2 linked regions of the Sus scrofa genome follow. The protein of the gene in region 2 purifies or fractionates together with the protein of the main gene of each other region. This does not show direct contact. Links are inferred from orthologs where the notes say so. Each region holds a gene or a part of one and is shown on either strand. Other genes may lie near its edges.

What was found.
Region 1: the proteins of SEC31A (region 2) and SCYL1 purify together in Homo sapiens (affinity purification with mass spectrometry; 3 studies listed by BioGRID and IntAct, counting the BioPlex papers as one, with this or other methods). This does not show direct contact. The link is inferred for Sus scrofa from reciprocal best matches to the Homo sapiens genes SEC31A and SCYL1.

Annotation. Positions count from the first base shown.
Region 1 is NC_010444.4:6,730,481-6,735,022, forward strand, and holds the start of SCYL1 (N-terminal kinase-like protein), read right to left. Parts: upstream 2,998-4,542; 5' UTR 2,903-2,997; coding exon 2,792-2,902; intron 2,443-2,791; coding exon 2,302-2,442; intron 2,102-2,301; coding exon 1,979-2,101; intron 1,897-1,978; coding exon 1,670-1,896; intron 1,236-1,669; coding exon 1,145-1,235; intron 1,068-1,144; coding exon 912-1,067; intron 1-911. UniProt on the Homo sapiens protein: Regulates COPI-mediated retrograde protein traffic at the interface between the Golgi apparatus and the endoplasmic reticulum. Involved in the maintenance of the Golgi apparatus morphology.
Region 2 is NC_010450.4:135,466,535-135,470,341, forward strand, and holds part of SEC31A (protein transport protein Sec31A), read left to right. Parts: intron 1-1,384; coding exon 1,385-1,511; intron 1,512-2,323; coding exon 2,324-2,469; intron 2,470-3,807. UniProt on the Homo sapiens protein: Component of the coat protein complex II (COPII) which promotes the formation of transport vesicles from the endoplasmic reticulum (ER).

The sequences.
Region 1 (4,542 bases), on a different chromosome or scaffold from region 2:
AGATGCCACTCAGGTACCTCATCGTCAAGGCCCTCCAAGCCCCTGCCTAAGTTAAACTTCCGCCAACCATCCAGGCACCCCCCCGCCCCCGCCCTTTATTCCAGATTCTCAGGCACCAAGGCTGGGTGAGAGCAGGTGTCCGGGACAGCGGGACAGCGCCTCTCCCCCTCACTCCCTGTGGTCAGCAGGTACTGCGGTTAACCTCGTCATGCAGATACGGAAACGGAGGTTCAAAGAGATTAGGCCGAGGGCTCCCTCCTCACCATCTTCCATTTTTTGCTGTTCCCTCTGCCTGGAACATTCTTCCCCGGGTACCATCCCCGTGCCTCCCACCTTCACACTCTTCAGGTCTCAGCTCAAATCACCCCTAAGAGAGCCCTTCCCTGAGCACCCCACCCTCACTCTCCTGGCCTTATCCCCATCCCAGGAAGCACATGTTTCTTCCTTTATGTTTTCTGTCCCTTTCTCCCAGTGAGATGGAGGCCTGGTCCAATTATCCTCAGCTGGATCATCCTTGGGGGGCAGGGGTCTGAGCCTGACTCTCCCTCCCCACCCTGCTACCCACACCACAGCCCAGCATCAGGACAGGTCTAGAATGTAAGTGTGCAGTTAACAGGGGGCCAGGAGCAGACACTAAGCTCCTACTAGGGGCCAAGCACTATACCACGCACTTCAAACTCACTGACTCCTCACCAAACTTCTTTGAAGTAGGTACTATTATTGGGACTGAGTGTCAGCCAAGGGAAGTCACACATAAATAACAGTTGGAGCCAAGGTTTAAGCACAGAGAGCCTAGCTCTACAGTCTGTGCTCATCTCCAAGGGTCTAATTCTCAGGGGGCCTGAAAAGTGGGTGGTGGAGACTGGGTGAAGAACGTCGGGCCAAAGCCCACAGTGGGGCAGGGGGCTCACCTGAATCTCTTCCAGGAAGAGGTTGGTCTCCACAAAGCGGTTGTTCATGAAGCCTCCAGGCGCCCGGCAGTTCTGCAGGAAGCGGGCTGGGTTGGGACGAACCTTGGGGTTGGCTCCGACCAGCTCACAGTAATGGGGCACCAGTGATTTGGGGATCTGTGGGAGAAGCAGCAAGGTCAGGGCAGGGGCCACCTGGCTGGCGGACAGGGGCTGGGGTGGGGTCAGATATTCACCTTTCCAGGGTTTCGCAGGGCGGCTGCACGAGGTAGGGGCCCATTGAAGACTTCCCAGATGAGGCAGCCCAGGCGCCACATGTCGGCTGACCTGAGGCAGTGACCAGAGCTGCTCAAGGCCCAGCCACCTGCCAGCATAAAACTCCAACCTATGCTGAGCACCAGGCACTCACTGCATGGCAGACCCTGTGCTCTGTTCCTCAGCTCATCCTCCCATCAGCCCCGAGAAGTAGGTTTCATCAGCCCCATTTGACAGATAAGGAAACTGAGGCTCAGAGAAGCAAAGACACCCACCCCGGGTGACACAATTTTCAAATTCAGAACCACCTAACCCCAAAGTCTGTGTTTATCCTGCCCTACTTCCCTGAGGATCCTCGGAGCAAGGAGTGGGCCCACCCTGAGGACCCTGGTCCCCTCCCAGCTGGGCAGCAAGGGACAAGGGAGTGACATATAATCTAGGGGGCCCGAAGCTGCAGGGGCTTCCAGAACAGGGCAGGTTGGGGCATGCCGCCCCCAGTCACCCACCACTTCTCTCTGACTGCTTTGCCACTGCCATCGGCCAACTCTGGGGGATCGTACTGCTCAAGTTCGGGGACCCCCTTGCGGGGAGGACCCCCACCATTGCCCTGCGCCGAATACATGTAGTCCAGGCCCCCAAGCTTCCACTCCCCAGCGCGGTCCACGAACACAGCGGCCATGCAGACATTATTGTGGATGAGGCTGCAGTCGTTGACCAGGAAGCTGAGGGCTTTCTGGGGACAGAAGGAGCCATCACAGCCCTGTACCTGCAGCCCCCCCATCCCTGCAATCATCACCACTACCCCCCCACCTCACCACAATTTGGTGTAGCCCCCAGGAGAGCTCCATCTCCCTCAGATCACCAGTCTCTGTTCGAGCCTTGAGGTACGCTGCCAGCGGGGTCACAGCCTCCGTCACCACGTGGAGGCATTTTTCTGTCTGAAGAAGGACGTGGAGTATCAGCGCAGAGTGGAGAAGAAGCAGGGGGATGAGAGACGTGATGGGGACCGGGTGGAGAAGGGGAAGTCAAATCTGGGGGTTACTGGGGCAGGGGGCTGGGAAGGGGCAGGAAGGCAGGAGCAGGAGACTGGGAGAAAGTGAGGGGCAGAGACAGAGCAGACTGAGCGGCCGGTAGGTACCTCCAGCCCATCGATGTAGGCCAGGATGTTGGGGTGCCGGAGAGTTTTGAGGCGCTTGAAGGCGGCTTTGGCCACCTGGGTTTGCTCTTCGGCGCCGGGCTTCACATCATAGACGAAGATGGACACCGGGCTGCCTGTGGCCTGGGGCAGAACAGAGGGGCCTCAGGGGTGTGGGCCGAGCCCCAAGCTGACCACTCCATCTCCGAGATGGTCCCCGGAGCTAAGTACCGGAAAGGAAGACCCGCCGGCCGGGTCTCCCCCCAGGACAGCCCTTGGGGACTGAGTCGGGCCCACGTAACCCCGGTTGGGTGCGCCTGTTGGTCCCTCGGTCCTTCCGCCCGCCACGTCGGCACTACCCGTCCCCCTCCCCCGGCCCGTTGCCCTAGAGGCTCCGCAGCCACGTCAGGCGGGGCGCGACGCGGCGGGGCCGGCGGCGCTGACTAGGCGAGACCGAGGTCGGCCGAGGCCTGCGGAGCGGGGCCGCGCTCACCTTCTTGCGGCCGCGGTGCAGGGCCCAGGGTCCGGGCGGGCTGCCCTCGGGAGGTTCCGGGCTGAGCTCAAACGGGAAATCCCGGACCGGGTCCCGAGCAAAGAACCACATCGTCCCCGCCGCCGCCGCCGCCGCCGCCGCCGCCGCGGCCTCGGGCGCTTCAGCTCCGGGTCCTCCCGCTGCCCGAGCCGGGGCGGGGCGGGGCGGGGGCGGGACGGGGGCGGGGTCGGCCGTGGCGAGGGCGGGTCTGTGTGGGCGGGGCCTCGTGGGGGCGGGGCTGGTGGGCGGGGCGGGGCTGGTGGGCGGGGCGGGGATCCGAGGGCGGCAGGTACTGGGGAGACCAACCCTCCTTCACCCCCTGCCCTGGCGGATCACCCAAACTCTCAGGGCCTCTGTGTCTTTATATCTAAAATGTGGAAAGCCTGAGAAGGGACAGAGGATAGGGAAACGGAGACAAGGAGGCGGGGAGATGGGGAGACGCCAGAGGAAATCGTCAGAGAGACAGACATGAAGGGGTGCAGGGTTCAGTGAGGAGTGAGGAAGAGACTTAGAGAAGATGACTCTCCCCAAACCAGACGCTCTCCCACACCAGCCAGTGGGCACCTCCAGGATGCGGTGAGGATCAAGTTGGTGGAATGACTGAGTGACCAGGGAAGAGGCACAAGGAAGCAAAGCCGGTGAGAAGGAGCGTGGGTGAGAGGCAGAGAGGGAAGCAAAGGTCCTGAGGAGGTCTAGGAACCCTGAGACAGGGAGAGGGGACCTGGGGAGGGGAAAGGCAGTGACCCCAGGAAAGAAGGGTAGGAGGAACAGCCCAGCAAGTTCAGAAGAAGCCAGGAGGCCAGGAGGGGCCCCTGCTCTCCTGGGCTCAGTAGAACTGGCTCTGTGTCTCCAGGGTCAGCACCTCCAGACCCCAGCACCTGTGCAGATAGGGGCTGTCAGTGGCAGAATGGTGTCAACAGCTCAAATGCCATTCATGCTGGAGGAGACCCAGCTCCTTAGCTGGACAGAGCCCAGCATCCAGGAGGGGCTGGGCTGGCAATGGTTTCTCCAAAAGTAAGGTCACGTTCATTACAACACTATTTACAATAGCCAAAACATGGAAACAAGCTAAATGTCCATCGACAGAGGAGTGGATCAAGAAGATGTGGTACATATACACAATGGAATATTACTCAGCCATTAAAAAGAACGAAATACCAGCATTTTTTGCAACATGAATGGACCTAGAAACTATCATTCTAAGTGAAGTCAGCCAGACAATGAGACACCAACATCAAATGCTTTCACTCACATGTGGAATCTGAAAAAAGGACAGACTGAACTTCTTTGCAGAACAGATGCTGACTCACAGACATTGAAAAACTTATCGTCTTCGGAGGAGACAGTTTAGGGGGTGAGGGGATGTGCTTGGGCTGTGGGATGGAAATCCTGTGAAATCAAATTGTTATGATCATTATACAACTACAGATGTAATAAATTCATTTGAGTAATTAAAATAAAATAAAAAGATTTTAAAAAATAAAACAAAACACAAAGGAAATTAAAACTTGTTCATCACTATGTGTCAAACACTGTATCAGGCAGTTCTGCACACAGTAACCCACTTGGAAGTTACTTGGCCTCTCTGTGCCTTATTTCCTTGTCTGTACAAACAAACCTCCTGGTGCTAGAATTTCATCAGTACTGTTTTTTTAAAAAAAGAAAGAGACTGAGGTTCTATATGCAAGATACTCAGAACAAGGCCTGCAACT
Region 2 (3,807 bases):
ACTTTTTTTTTGGGGGGGGGGCCACACCCACGGCATGTAGATGTTCCTAGGCCAGGGATGGAGCCTGTGCTGTAGTAGTAACCCAAGCTGCTGCAGTGACAGTGCTGGAGCCTTAGCCTGCCGCACAGCACGAGAACCCTGACTTTTCAGATTTTTACCATAGGAAGGGTGAAACATAGAAAATGTTAAAGTTTTTAATACCTCCTAAATCTTCCATCAGATTAGTACCTATTCTTTAATACCTCTTCCTATGTATTTGTAGACGTTTTAAAAACAGAATTAGGATTATATACAAGTATGTGGTTTTGCTTATAGATACTGTCACTTATGTTGTAATCATTTTCCCATATCATTAAAGTCTTACAAAAATATTTAATTGCTCTATAATCATCTACAGTAGGAATATATTATTTTTCTTATTTTAAGATGTTTAGATAATTTCTAACGTTTTCCTAATGCAGTTGAGACAGTGGTAAACATCCTTATTGCACCTAAAAATTTGTGCACATTTCTAACTGTTTAATGAGGCTGTCGTGTTAGGAACGGGATTTCTGGTGCGGAGGGTCTGTGCATTTCTAAGCCCCTGCTTGATGACTGCATGCCTTTGCGGCAGCCTCGTCCCGGCATCCGTCCCACCAGCGTTGGCTGCTCGCAGGCTCCGCAGCCGCGGCCCAGGTCACAGACTCCCGTGTTATGTGCGGGCTGCCTTTCTGTTCCTCTCCCGCACTCGCCATGCCTTTCTCTCTCGGGACTTTGCCCCTGGTGCTCCCTTGGCCAGGAGTGTTTTTTCTTCTTGCTGAAAGTAATTCTGACTTCATATCTCAAATATTTGTGTGCTCAGAAAATTTTTCCTAATCCATCAGACCAAGTCATGTCTTCCTGTTAAATGTTTTGGTAACACCCCATACTTTTCTGTCTCAGTTTTTATTTTGTTTTATTTTTGTCTTTTTAGGGCCGCACCCATGGCATGTGGAGGTTCCCAGGCTAGGGGTCTAATTGGAGCTGTAGCTGCCGGCCTACACCACAGCCACAGCAATGCCAGATCTGAGCCATGTCTGTGGCTCACGACAACACGGGATCCTTAACCCACTGATCCAGGCCAGGGATCGAGCCTGCACCCTCCTGGTTCCTAGTCGGATTCATCTCCACTGCACCATGACAGGAACTCCTGTCTCATATAAAATATGTTAGCATAAATTTTTTTTTGAGAAAAAAATAATACTGTCTTTTATGTCGGTTCAGGGATATACTTCACTTTGCTGCTCCTTTATTCTTCTCAAAATACTGTGAATAGTAGTTTTGAAAGTTTCGCTTGATGAGCCAGAGTTGATTTTTGTAAGTTACGCAAAGACTTCTGATTCTCCCTTCGTTTTCCTTTCCCAAGCTAATTACTGCAGTAGTCATGAAGGACTGGAAAGAGATTGTCGAGTCTTGTGACCTTAAAAATTGGAGAGAAGCTTTAGCTGCAGTATTGACTTATGCTAAACCAGATGAATTTTCAGCCCTTTGTGGTAAGAAAATGAGTTTTATATTTATATTACATATCTGACCAAGTATATTGGAAATAAAATTACAGATAGTTTTTTTTTAAAAATATTTGTAAACTCACTAATCACAGATAAGAAAATGAAGTTCTCATTTGAATGCTTTTCTCTGAATTTTTAACACCATTGCTTCTCTACCTACTAGTCATTATTTTTAATAGTATTATTTAAGGATTTTAATTTCAGACAGACCAGACTGAGACTCCTGCTTCCGCCATGTACTAGCTGTATAACCTAGAAAAAATTAATTTCTAAGCCTGAGACTATTCATATGTAAAATAGCATATCATCAGCTCTCACTTCATACATGTTAGCTTCATAAGATTAATAATTACAGCATTTCAGAAGAAATTACCATTAAAGGCCCTAACTAAACTGATAACTAAGGGATGATATTCATTAACCCCAAGAATAGAGGCTTCAGGCTGCTGGTATAAAAGCGAACAACCATTTGCTTCCTTGAAAGTATTATGGAAACAGAAAAATCACGAAGATGGTAACGTCATCGTCGTCAATAATCTAGAGTAGTCCTAGCTCTCATTGCTGGTTATTCCAAATGTGCCGTATTTTATTTCTTCCCCGGCTTTTACCAAAGCACTTGTACTCATTTCACAGGTAAGTATGCGCGGAAGGTTTATGTGACAGGGACTCTGTTTCTGCCTGCTCCTCGCTGGTTAGGAGGTTTGATCCGTTATTCTGAAACCATCGTTGATCTTCTCCTGATCTCATACACAGACTGCCGTGTGCGCCATCTTATTCGTTTTCCTTTTGATCCGTAGATCTGTTGGGAACCAGGCTGGAGAGCGAAGGTGATAGCCTCCTGCAGACGCAGGCGTGTCTCTGCTATATCTGTGCCGGGAACGTGGAGAAACTAGTTGCGTGTTGGACTAAAGCTCAAGACGGAAGCAACCCCTTGTCCCTTCAGGTCGGTATCTGGGAGACAAGAGATGCTTCTTTCCTAGTGTTGTCCTTCAGCCTGCTTATATTCTAGAAGGCGATTTGTTCTGGAAGTTCCTTCCTTTCACCTACTGAACACATCTTAGAAATTCTCTGGCTGGATAATTATGTGTGCTTGTTGCTGTATTTGGAGAGGCAGAGTTTGAGATGATGGGATGGTACAATGAGAATGCAGTTGTTTGTGAGAACACAGTTGAAATGTGCTAGTTTATTGGGGGAGGTAAATGGCAAGAGCATGAAGACAGCCCTGGAGCTTTACCCCTTCTCATGCCTCTTTCTCCGTCCTCCGTGATTGTGTCTGCCGTGGGCAAAGAAACAATATGGGACTTGCCGTGGGGGCTCAGCGGTAACAAGCTAGTATCCATGAGGACGTGGGTTCGATCCCTGGTCTCCCCCAGTGGGTTAAGGGTCTGGCGTTGCCGTGAGCTGTGGTGTGGGTCACAGACGAGGCTTGGATCCCGCGTTGCTGTGGCTCTGGCATGGGCCAGCGGCCCCAGCTTCAATTAGACCCCTAGCGTGGAAACCTCCATATGTTGCAGGTGCAGCCCTAAAAAAAAAATCGAGAAATTTCATTTTAATATTTCTTTTTCTCTCTACGAAGAGATCTTCTCAATAGGGTTGTTGTTTTAAAGATCACTGTTGAAACCAAAAATCTTGTAGGAATCAAGGTTTTCCTTCTAAGAGCTTCTGAGAGAAAACACTTGTTTCACGCTTCCGAGTTGGTGTGTTTATGAAGGGCGGATGGGATACGTTTCTCCTTTATACCTGAAGCACAGCGCCCCGTGGCTGAGAGGATAGGTAGTGAAGAGTAATATGAGAAACTTTGGGTTGAAACACCAAGCCTGTTTGGTATTTATATAACCTAGGAAAAATTGATTTCTAAGCCGTAGACTATTCTAAGCTGAAGGGCTATGAAGTTTTCCTCGGTTATATAGGAAACACCACCATCGTAGCACTGTTTTTTGGTAGTACTATTTTTATAGTATACACCGTGTAATGTTTCCTCTTACACCTGCTGGACCCCCGTTTCTGCCTTCAGACATCCGCCCGTCACTCTGGCTTTGGATTTTTGCCTGTTTTAGGTCACAAGACAAGTATCTGGCTATTGACGGATGTTTAGGAGAAGATGCCTTAGCCTTCTTGGTTTTAAGTTTTGCCTAAACGGAGGTCGGCTGTTCAGGACCTTTGGGCGTGGTGATAGGCGGTGCTGCGTGTCCAGTCGGCTTTGGGGATCTCCGTAGCTCCTTCTCTCTCCCTGCTTCCTCTCAGAGCACATCTGGGTATCACTGGCCAGTCGCCTTCACGC